2 linked regions of the Caenorhabditis elegans genome follow. The protein of the gene in region 1 interacts with the protein of each later gene in a pairwise test. Each region holds a gene or a part of one and is shown on either strand. Other genes may lie near its edges.

Region 1 (4,370 bases):
AGTTACATTTAGTTTTACAACCAAAACCGAGCCGCGGCGCGACACGCAACGCACCGTAAATCTACCCCAGATATGGCCGAGCCAAAATGGCCTAGTTTGGCAAACTCTTCCATTTCAATTTATGAGGAAAGCCAGAAATCCGTGTGTCTTTTTAAAGGCGCACGGATTTTTTTAGATGGGTCTCGGAGCACAAACAAAAATTTATGGTAGTATTTTTTTTAATTTGAAAACTGAGTTAAAACTATTTTAATAGAATTTTTAAAAGAAAAATAAACAAGGACGGAGCCGCAAAAATTCAAAAAAACGAGAAACTTTTAACTATAAACTTTTCTACGCGCGCCGAGACCCATCTGAATAAGTCCGTGCACCTTTAAGAAGGCCTATCAAATTCTAGTGAAACTACTATATTACGGGAACACAAAATTCTGAGAATGCGTATTGCACAACATATTTGACGCGCAAAATATAACTATATCTCGTGAGCGAATTCTTTAAATGATTACTGTGGCGCTGGTGTCGATTTACGGGCTCGATCGATAGTTCGTAATATTTTGTCATTGTTATGTTTTCTTCTAATATTTTATCGATTAATAAGTGATTTCCGTAAATCGACACAAGGACTACAGTAGTCATTTAAAAATTACTGTAGTTTTCGCTTCGAGATATTTTGCGCGTCAAATATGGTGCGCAATACGCATTTTCAGAATTTTCCTTGCATTTTTGGAAGATTTGTTACGGTCTCCAAAACTCGAAGCTGGAAATTTCTTTAAAATTACTGCTTTGCGCCCAATAAGTTTAGTTTGGCAGTGGAGCGCTATTGAATTTCCATTTCGAAAAGAGCACTATTTTCAGTGTGTCGTCAAATCGAAGATCTCGAAGCGATTTATTGAAAATTCAACGGCTGGTCTAAAAAAGGGTTGGAAAACATGTGGAAGAATTATTTGATAAATTTTTTTAAATAGAAAATGTTTCGTTTCAATTAGTTCCAAATACTCCCAAAATAGAAAACTACCAAACATCAGGCATCAGGTATAACTAGTTTATGCGGTGTTTCGAAGTGGAAAAACTAGGCAAAAAATATTTTCAAACTAAAAAAATTATTTGAATTTTGTCATTTCAACTAAATAAAACAAAATAAAATATATACTCTGCATCTCTCGGGAACACTAACACCCCACGTCAACGCTGTTCCCATCAATCAAAATGCGCGAAATTGGCTCATAAATCAAACGGCGAAAAACTAAAAAAAAAAAAAACTGAAAATATTGGCGGAAATGTGAAAAATATAGTCGGAGAGACAAGCTGTTATTCATGAGAAGACATTTTTTTTCGAATTTTAAAGTTTTTCGTAAGAAAAATGAGTAGTACCCGATTTTTAAGAATGTGTAATAATAAAAATTATGCAGAAGATATCATTTTTTGACGAAATACGAAATCTTTGTCAATCAATATGTGTGTCAAACAAGAATCAATGTCAATTTCCGTCTTTTTCCGCGGAAATCGGTCATTTTCGGAGGGTCACTTTGCTTGTGCTGTGACGTCACAAAAAATGTGGGTGGAGCTAGAGGCAACGAATATGCAATGCGGGCGCGCAGTTTTCGCAAGTGTGCGGCACGCGATTTATTTTCGAATAGTTTTTTCTCTGTGCAGTTTCCAACTCCTTAAATGCTTTTATCGATTTATCGACGATTTAATTTATTCATTTTCAATTTCCAGGTTGAAAAATGATGTCCGGGGGATACAAATCATCCGGAGTGGGCAATGATCGATCTCAACGTTCAGTTTTCGGTAGGAAACTGTGAATTTTCGAAAAAAAAACGTAATTTTCGCATTTTTCAGTTGGAAACATTAGCTACGATGTATCCGAAGACACGATTCGCTCCATTTTTTCAAAGGTAATTATTATTTTATTCTTTCCAATTAAAATACTGAAAAAAAGTTTTCAGGCAGGAAATGTGTTGTCGATCAAAATGGTTCACGATCGGGAGACCGGAAAGCCAAAGGGATACGGATTTATTGAATTTCCAGACATTCAAACCGCCGAAGTTGCAATTCGAAACCTTAATGGGTATTAAATATTTGAAAAATAAATTATTTATTCAATAAATGTTCAGTTACGAGCTGAGTGGACGTATTTTGCGAGTCGACAGTGCTGCTGGTGGAATGAATATGGAAGAATTCGGCTCATCGAGTAATGCTCCAGCTCCTGTCGAAGAGAATCCGTATGGTCCAGAGTGTGATGCTGGAAAAGCACCGGAGGTAGCTAAAAATGAGCGAAATTGGCCTGAAATGTCTAAAAAATAACTGAAATTGGCCTGAAATGTCCAAAAATGACTGAAATTGGCCTGAAATGTCTAAAAATGACGAAAATTGGCCAGAAATGTTCAGGAATGACTGAAATTGGCCTGAAAATGACAGAAATTTCCCTGAAATATCCAAAAATGGCCAAAATTCGCCTGAAATGTCCAAAAATGACCGGAATTGGCCTGAAATGTCCAAAATTGACCGAAATTGGCCTGAAATGTTCAACAATGACTGAAATCGGCTCGAAAATGACTGCAATTGGCCTGAAAATGCCCAAAAATGCCCAAAAATGAATGAAAATGACCGAAATTCGCCAGAAATTTCCAAAATGACCTACACTGGTCATTTTTTGTAATTTTCGTACTTTTTTAAAACAATTTTTGGTTCTCTTCGACCAAATTTTAATCATTTTTATTATTTTTTGGCAAACTTCGCTCTTGTTTAGTCATTTTTAAGCTTATTTAGTCATTCTGAACGTATAGTCTCAAAATGAGCTCAATTGTAAGAATTTCGTAATGAATTGTCTCAAATTAAGCTTAAAAATGATGAAAAATAGTCGTATTTGCACAAAAATGAATAGAAAATGCTCAAAAATGACGAAATAGGGCCTAAATATGCATTATCGAGCTCATTTTCTTTCTCAAATCACAAATTTTAGAGAATCTCCCAAACAGTCGCCTCCCTGGCTCCGGAGAAAATGTTCGAACTAATGAAGCAACTGCAAGAATCGCTGAAGAACAATCCATCGGAACTACACAAATTCCTGGTCGAGCATCCACAAATCGCCTACGCGGTGCTCCAAGCCGCCGTTGTCATGCGAATCGTTGATCCACAGACTGCACTTGGACTCCTTCATCGTAATAAGGCCGCCACGCTGACACCATTCCATAATACACCTCAAGGAGCACCGCCAATGGTTCAGCAACAACAGATGCCGATGCCACCGAAGCCAACATTTGCTCATCCTGGCCCATCTATGGGTCCTCCGATGGGACCACCTATGGGTCCACCTATGGGACATCCGCAAGCTCCTCAATACGGTCAAAATTACGGGCAACCAGTGGCTCCACAGCAGTACAAGCCACCGCCACAGCAGCAGCCACCAGTTCAGATGAGACCTCCAGTTCAGCAGCCACAACAAAATCATCAAGAAGAGCAGCAAAATGCGGAGCTTCTGATGCAAGTCATGCAGCTCAGCGAGCACGATCTTCAGATGCTTCCTGCTGGGGATCGTGAGAAGATAATAGAGCTGAGACAGCAGTTGAAGAGAAATGTCAAGTAAATATGGATCTCGTCTCTCGAGTATTTGTGCTTTTAATTCTAATTTTTCCGTTTTGTAACTATCGATTTCATGAAGATCACATTTTTAAATTCAACATTTGGTTTATTGCAACAAAATTAAATGAAAATTCAATCTTCTTCCATCGGCTCTTGGTCGGAGAATCTTTTATGCCAAACCACCATCTCAACCTCGTTATCGTTAATGATCACAGAAGCGAGAAGACCATCGGCTCGTTCAAAATCCATCGCTTTCTCGCAGTTTAATGATTGGAATGGTTCTTCTTTTCTGAAACAGAATTTAATTTGCAACTTTCAGGAAACTTTTGAAAACTTACGGGAAAATTTTCTGCCGTTGTTCGTGGTTCCATGGTTTCACATCGAGACCTTCCAGAATTTGCCCTGGAACTCTTCCATCAATCTCTTTCGAATGAACAATCAAATTTTCCAATTTCGCATTTGATCCTCGGGTCCAATCTCTGAGAATAGTATTCACGTCTTGAACAGTGAAGTTTAAGCAATAAAGAGAAACACGATTTGCCTCCAATGCTCGAAAATGCTCCGCTCTGAACCATGAACAGCCACTGAGTTCAAGGTGTTCCAGATCTTTGAAGTTTTCCAAATTTCCATTCATCGTAGAGATTAGGTTCATCGAAATGCCCTCACATTGTTGTATAGCCGACCAATCGAAAAGATCAGCAGATCCTTCGAAATCAGGTCCCCAGATATGAACATTTGAAATCGGAAATCTTATCAATTCAGTCACCCATTCAGCCGCCTTCATCATC
Region 2 (7,819 bases), on another chromosome or scaffold:
AACTCAATTATTGTTGTGCTAGAGGCTCAATTCCAAATCCATCCATCTTTGTATTTGGAAGGCAATCATTCCAAAATCTATTCCCAAGAAACAAAAAATATGGTCTATAGGAGAGCGGAGCACTTGATTGAAATGATGCACATACATACCCACACAGACACAAATTAACATTTCCTCTGAGAATAGGCAATTTTGAAAACATGAGGGAAATGCACATAGCATGCGTAGAGCTGCTTCTTAATTGTTCATTACATATTACGAGTCAGTGCTACGATGTTTATCTTCTAAAAACGCATTTTGCTTGTCATGTTTCGAAACAAATGAGTGCGCGAACAACGAGTATCTGTGCATTTATATCTATGAGTGTGTTGTTCTCAATAATAACAGAGACAGGAAGAGGAGCAGTTGGACGAATCGACGCGTCATATGTGTTTTTGCATGGGACCCCTCTTGTTCTTCTTCCTATTGTGACCAGCACTACCGCATCTTTCCGTTCATTCGATTTATGCATTACACCATACTTTGACGAGTTCGACAACATGCATTAAGTGATACAACGTGTCCTCCACTCTCTACACATGTCCCTACAATTCCATCAACATACTAATTAATGAGAAGAAATGATTGGACTATGTTTCGGATTTAGCTATCGTAATTTTAAGGGAACTACTTTAAAGGAGAAACAATTTTAGATATTTGAATTTATTGTTTATCCTTAATGCAAAAATCAAGGTTTCAATATGATCTGAGCAAGAGAAGCGATGTTCTACTATAAAATAACTATATCACAGGTTTGATACAGGTGTTCGAAAGAACTGTTTCCCATGCAACCAGCCATCTGTCTATTGTAAGAACAAGAAAACCAATCGAATGCCTATTCAAAAGACACTAAGTGTTTTGCCACTGAACAGATCATCCCATCGTTTCGGACGTCGGCTCCTAATAGACTCCACTACTAATCACTTCGAATATCATTTGCATCGGCTCATCTTAACAAAAAAGGCGGGAAACGAGAAGACCGGAAGATGTTCGCCAGCTGCCTCTTTATGAAATGAAATACGTGTATGGCACGGCGCGTGTTCCACACAATCGCCGATTAGACAATTGTTGAATGAATAAAAGGGGAACGTCGCCGTCCTTTTTCCTATCTGCTCTCATCATGCGCACCAACCTCGCGCACTATTCCATTACACAATATTCCTGGAGACACATCGTTTACTATGATCTATGCAAATGTCGTCAAAACAATCATCTAATGAGACAAAAGCTGCAGCAGCAGTTATAACAAAAAGGGGGAGAACAAATGTTGTGGCCAATTGCTTGAAACATACGGGATAAATTTGATAGCAGCGTAACCGCTTACAAGATGAGATTATAGTGACATCCGATCCGTGGAATGTGTGTGTGTGTGTGTGTGCAAATACGTCGTCGCGCATCCTAAATATGCCACAAAACATGTGCTCCTAACAATTGCGGGAAGCAAAAAGAGCAACACTGATTTGCTTATTAAAGGGGCCGAAGAAAAAAGAAATATAGATCAGATATCGTAGTAAAACTTCTCGAAAAATCAAGTTTCCTAATTTGCAGTCGAAATTGGCAACTACCTAGATACCACCTATTTTAATTTTGGAATTCGACCGAAAATAGGCAATTATTCAAGTATTATAATTTAATTTTTTGTATTAAAACATTTTAGGGTGTCGAACATGGAATAATGCTCTAAACTTTACAAAAAGCTCAACTTTCCGAAAATTTGGCATTGTGCGTACAAATAACCCCTAATGTAGTGAAGATCACATCTACTAAAATTGAAGGTTCTGTGATAAGAAAGTTTCCTTTCAGCTTTTGTGTTGCCCTCTCATCCCAAAAAAGATCTGATTATTGAACATAGTTTTTTTTGCTGTGAAATGTGTAATATTTATGTGAAGAGACGAGCCTTTGTCGATCAACGTTTTTATGTGCGCCTACTAATATCATTTTATGTGGGCAATGCACATACATACACACACTCATCCACGTTTTGGTATTGAACAAAATTAATCGAAAATGTAAAATGACATATAACATGTATGTGCCAACAATGTGTTGTGTGATGCGAGAGCATTCGGTCCAGTAGTGCAACGTCGACGAAAATTAAAAAATCTGATCTATTCGTATGGATAAGATGCCCGCCTTTCACACTTCCTATGTCAAGTGATGAAAACGAAAAATGCAGAAATTATTGCTTTTGTTTCCAATTCAAATTGTTTCGTCTAACAATCATCAAAAATTAAAAGACAAGGAAATGAGGGGCCTTCCTCTTTCACTGGGGGAACTCATGATAAATCTCCCACACTTCTCTTTTCTAAGAGTATATTCTGTCTGTAGAAAGGGCCGAGACATCAGAATTTCGAAACAATTTTAGATACGCCACCGGGGTCTAAATGAAATTCGATATGATAATTGCATTTTCTGAGCAAACAGGAAAAGATTTTCGATCGTGCACGCTGTCATCAGTTTGCCATCGTCTTCGTCACTTTATACTCATTATCTAACATTTATCCATAGCATGTCAAACGAGCCGACTTTTGCTTCTGCTCAGCGACGACGGCACAGAAGAAGCAGAAGACGGAGCATCGTCTTGTTACATTATTCAGAACAGACACACGATGACTTCTTCTTTCTTGCTCGCGCACTTCCGTCGCTGTCACAGAGCAAACGGCGACTCGGCGCAACTCATCAGCTTCTAAATTTGAGCAAAAACTTTGATATATGAAATGAAGGGGGAACTTCATTTGATGTGAGGCTTCAACTAATCATCCAAATTTTCATTTCAATTTGGAAAATTCAAAAGACCACGGAATCGAGAGGGAAGTATAAAAAAAACTATACTATGGGAAATTATTGGATTCGGTGATATTATTCTAAATCGATCTGTCGATTGAATTAGAAAGGAAAGCTTAAAATAGTTCAATTAGCTGAAAAAGTTCTTTGAACCCATGATGTTTCAATAACTATCATACAGACAATAGAAAGTTTTGGCAATTGCCGATTAAAAAAATTTTACCACTTCGATAAATTCACAATCCAAAAATAGGCTATTGTCGAGTTTTCAAATTTTGCAATGAATAAAAAATAAGAAAAACTGATTTCTACAGTAGTAATGCTTTTTTTTTAGCTTTTTAAATAGAAATTTTCTCTTTTTCAGTTCATAAAATCTTATTATCTCGTTATTTCACTCTGAATATTTTTTTTTCTAGACAATTCGAGAAGGCCGAACTTGAAAATAATCACCTCTGCTCCCATAAGAAGTGACATAAGAAATCAAATATTCAATATACTCACTCTTCCTCCTCCCATATTCATTGAATTGAATAAATCGGCAAGTCCGTTTGCAGAGTTTGCTCTGAAATGAGAAAAAACTATCAGCTATAAAAACTATCAACGAACCCAGCAGAAGATGCATTGGCATCAGAACCGAATGCTCCACCTCCCATTGCTCCAGCTTGGAAAAGGCTAAAATAATTTTAAATAGTTTTTGACTAAATGGTATTTTCAAATACTTCAAAAGTTGAGGTGCTTCTCTGCGAAGAGTTGAAAATCCCTCTTGAATTTGACGGAATGCTTCACTGACCCGTGGGTTTCTCATTGCCTCCATCACAGATGGATCAGACATCTGAAATTTTGAAATATAAATTTTTGTAAAAATTTAGAAAATAAACCATGTTGAGCATTTGTGGAAAACTTCTACGAATTCCTTCGGAAATCTGTGGGTTATCACGAGCCGATGGAATTTGTCCAACAATCTGAACTTACATAATTATTTTAAATTTTTTAAAAATGAAACTAACGGAATCAATGAGTCCAGGATTGTTTGACATATTTTGACGAATTGAATTGATGACTTCTGGGCTGAACATACTGGCCTGCATACTTGGATTGGACATCATCTGCTCCATTAGGGAGCTGATGCCAGGTGAATCAAGCAATGCTGAATATGAATTAAAACATTATTAACGGATCACTAAACTATGAGGATATTCGTGACGTTTAAATATTTTGTTTAAAATTATAATAAATGGTGGGCGGCAGACGTAAAATTGGGCGAATTGGAAATTTGTCGTTTTGAAATTTTTGTTGGAAATTTTTTAAGGAAAATGTTCAAAAATACATTGCTGAAAATCTTTTTTCACATTTACAATTTTTTAATTTTTTCGGCAAATTGATATTTGGCATTTGCCACTCGTCATTGATTATTATATGATTTTAATGTAAGATTTTTTTTTACTTAGAGAAATTTGACTCAGAAAAACTTACAATTAAAGTCAGCAGAACGATTATTCGATTGATTATTGGTAGCTTGATTGGCGTTTGAAGCCCATGGATTTGGCAGAGCTTCATTATTTTCTTGTCCAGCACGATCGACACGTGGCTCACTGCTCTGATCACCTCTTAGAGAAGCAAATGGATTTCCACTGAGCGAATTTGTTGCACTATTGAGCAAGGGCTCCTGTACATCATTGTACAACCGTTCAAGAGCAGCTTCTCCTCCGGGAATTCCCTGAAAATTGAATGTTTCAACATAAAATAACAAATCCAACCGAAAAAAAGGAAAATCTGTTGAAATTGGAATTCAAGACAAAAACCCCTGTAGCGCGGCTGGGATGGAATATATAGTTTCCAGAAATGTACCCCTGATATTAAAAAAAAATTAGCAATTTTTTGCCATATCAATTAAAATAACAATTAATTACTTTTAATAGTCATATTTAGACATTTAGATCGGCATCCTTGATCGATTTTTTAAAACTAAAACTGAAAAATCAGAATTTTTCGTTTTTCGATTTTAGAGAGAAAAAACCGACTTTTTCAATTTTTAAAAAATGGTATTAAATTTTGGTAATTTTTCTTTTTTTTAGACAATTGTTAGATAACATTAAAATGTCTTCGTATGTTTTTTGTCACCAACATATATGACACAAGTTGTGTGTCACACAACTTGATAAAAATCAAATTTTATTGATAATTTTCTGGACTTTTTTTCTTCGATGTTTCGATTTTCGCTGAAAACATTGAAAAATTGAAAAATGGCATCCCTTGATCAGCATAGCTATATATAATGTACCTGAAGATTCCTAATAGCTTGATCATGATTCCGCATCATTTCTTGGAACATATTTGGATTACGAATCATCTCCATAGTTTGACGCATTACATTCGGATCGTTGAGAATGTGTCCAACTTCTGGATTTCTCTGAAAATATTTATTGTCGATATACGAGAGAAATGTGGAAGATTAAAAAATTAAATAATTTTTCGAATCCGAAAATTTACAAAACAAATATCCAGGAAAAACTCGAACCTCAATCAATGCTTGGAATTGTGGGTTGGATTGAATAATTGTTCTCATAAACTCTGGATTTCCTAGAAGTTGTTGTGTAATTGGATTATCCATAACTGAACGCATAGCATCTGGATTGTTTAAAATATCAGCAGGTGATCCCATTCCTCCCATTGCTGCAAATGGATTATTGGTAGGATTCGGTTGTGAAGAAGGTGTTGGATTGGAACTTGGTGCAGATGAAGCTGTTGGTGTTGCAGCAGCCGGCGCTGGTGTTGGACGGGCTTGATTTCTAATAACCAAGTGGACGGTGTGACCATCAGCGATTTCTAAATTTTTGTTTATTATTTTTTGGAACACATTTTTCAACTTACTGTGCTGTGTGAGAGTTTCTTCATCCTTCAGAATTTTTCCGGTGTAAATTATACAAACTTGTTCTTTGTTCGCAGTTGGAACGAACACAAGAACCTTGTCTTTTAGCTGTAAAATATTAATTAAACACTGTGATTTACACATTTAATTTATCAAAATGGAATAATCACTTGAATTTTTATCTAATTCTCAAGAGCAAAATTTTATTTTTTAAATAAAATATAACATACTTCTGAAACTGATGCATCCGCAGCAATCTCAACGTCATACTTGTTCGACGGTGATTTCACGTGAACTTTGATGAGTGCACTCTCTGTAGCCATCTTAAATTTGAGAAATATTAAAAAACCGACAAAATTAAATAAAGAAAAAGGATTGAGAGAATGAGAGGCGGAGACGGAAAAGAACACGTTGCATCGATAAATCGAGAATATTCTCGAAGCGCAAAAAGAAATTTCGCAACTATTTCAGACCGAATAATGTAATAATGTAATGGGTCTCTTCGATAGAAAATAAACGAAGATAAACGAAGACACAATTCTTCCTGACGCGCGAGCTTCAATATGCACGTGATGACTAATTTGGTTTCCATGGTGATCTTTTTGTTCCTTTTATCGATTCAAATTTACAATAAAAATAAGAAATTAAAGTTCTAAATGGCGCTCCAATCAATTTGCCTTCCAATTTAACGTCGATTCCTTCTATATCAGGTCATAAAATGAATAAAAAACAATGATCAATAAAATGATGCGGTAGTTGCGTAAATCGACACATGATGGTCGCCTCTTCCGTGCGAGACCCATTGGGCGGAGTTCTCACAAGAATGAGGCCAATCGGCACACAACACGCGTGCGACAGGCAGTGAACGACGTGTTTTTGGCTCAGTTCCTACCAATCCCTGGTGTACACACGAGCGCCACGTGGACCTTAACAATTCGGGTCTATTTTTATGCTTCTGCTCTGCATTTTCTGGATTATTAGTAATAATATCATTAAAAGTGATATAACGCTCCCCGAGTCTATATAAAATTTCTCCTCCATACAACACATGTTTTTTGGCTTTCTTCTTCTAAGCTTAAAATTTATAGTTATTTACTAACTGTATTTTCCACTTATTAAAGATAATTTTTGAAAAGTGTTTGTAAATACTTAAAATTGAACCCGAAACAATCTGTATTTGTCCATTCACATGTGATTCACAGAAAAGAATGAAAATAAATGCGAAAAAAAAATAAATAAAGTAAAGGCGCATTGATTTTACCGCTCGCGGTATCTCGCCACGAAAACACGTTTCGCGTCAAGCGGCTCACGTTTTCGATGCGATCGCGGTTTGTTAATTGCGAAAACACCTTCCCTTCTCTTCAATCGTTCGCTCAATTTCTAGAAAATATTTCTGAATAATCTGAAAACCTCTAATCTTGTTTCTTAGTTTTTAACTTTTTGTCGGTGTTCCCGATAATCTCTCGCCCTCTAAACTCACTCGATCGATTGTCGTTTATAGGTAAAGTTTTTAGGTAATGATTTGGGTCCAGGCAGCTTTGGTCGCCTCCTTCCTGGCGTTCGCCAGTGCTGGAGGAGCCGTTCTCGAGTATACCGACGGAAACTTCGATGATCTCATCCAAACCCACGACATTGCTCTTGTCAAGTTCTACGCTCCCTGGTGCGGACACTGCAAGAAAATTGCCCCAGAGTATGAGAGAGCTGCCCCAAAACTCGCATCTAACGATCCACCAGTCGCTCTCGTCAAGGTAAGATAACCATACTTATTTACACAGCCATCGCTCATATATCGATCGCAGTGACACTGACAAATACGCGAAAGCTGATAAAACAGCAACGAAAGCCACATTGAATAGAAATATATGAAATGCATACAAAGGATTCTTTGAATTTATTGTTCTAGTCCTTATGCATATAGAAACATTTGTCCGTCATATATATTATGTATGCTGGTCCAAAATGGTTATTGTGTATTCAAAAGGCCATTGACAATGAGATCGGCTCGACATTTACATTTTCCCACGCATCAAATCACTGTTTGTTGTCAGGTCTTTACTCTACAGAATACGGACATCAATTAACGATAAGAGCAAAAACACCAGTCGCGTAGCAAACAGTTTTATCTAT

The links.
Region 2: the proteins of cpf-2 (region 1) and ubql-1 interact in a two-hybrid assay, tested with the Caenorhabditis elegans proteins (one large-scale study listed by BioGRID).

What each region holds. Positions count from the first base shown.
Region 1 is NC_003281.10:13,266,230-13,270,599, reverse strand, and holds cpf-2 (RRM domain-containing protein), read left to right. Parts: upstream 1-1,716; 5' UTR 1,717-1,724; coding exon 1,725-1,788; intron 1,789-1,839; coding exon 1,840-1,895; intron 1,896-1,946; coding exon 1,947-2,068; intron 2,069-2,114; coding exon 2,115-2,259; intron 2,260-2,962; coding exon 2,963-3,586; 3' UTR 3,587-3,668; downstream 3,669-4,370. Other genes in the region: F56A8.5 (F-box domain-containing protein), read right to left, coding at 3,715-3,871, 3,921-4,370.
Region 2 is NC_003279.8:7,020,178-7,027,996, reverse strand, and holds the start of ubql-1 (Ubiquilin), read right to left. Parts: upstream 6,016-7,819; coding exon 5,923-6,015; intron 5,801-5,922; coding exon 5,695-5,800; intron 5,650-5,694; coding exon 5,342-5,649; intron 5,234-5,341; coding exon 5,105-5,233; intron 4,541-5,104; coding exon 4,297-4,540; intron 3,971-4,296; coding exon 3,831-3,970; intron 3,786-3,830; coding exon 3,702-3,785; intron 3,656-3,701; coding exon 3,543-3,655; intron 3,496-3,542; coding exon 3,430-3,495; intron 3,386-3,429; coding exon 3,325-3,385; coding exon of another isoform or gene 3,304-3,324; exon of another isoform or gene 3,274-3,303; intron 1-3,273. Other genes in the region: pdi-3 (Protein disulfide-isomerase), read left to right, coding at 7,210-7,440. UniProt on the Caenorhabditis elegans protein: May play a role in the ER-associated protein degradation pathway (ERAD) possibly via its interaction with ER-localized proteins ubxn-4 and cdc-48.1 and/or cdc48.2, providing a link between the polyubiquitinated ERAD substrates and the proteasome.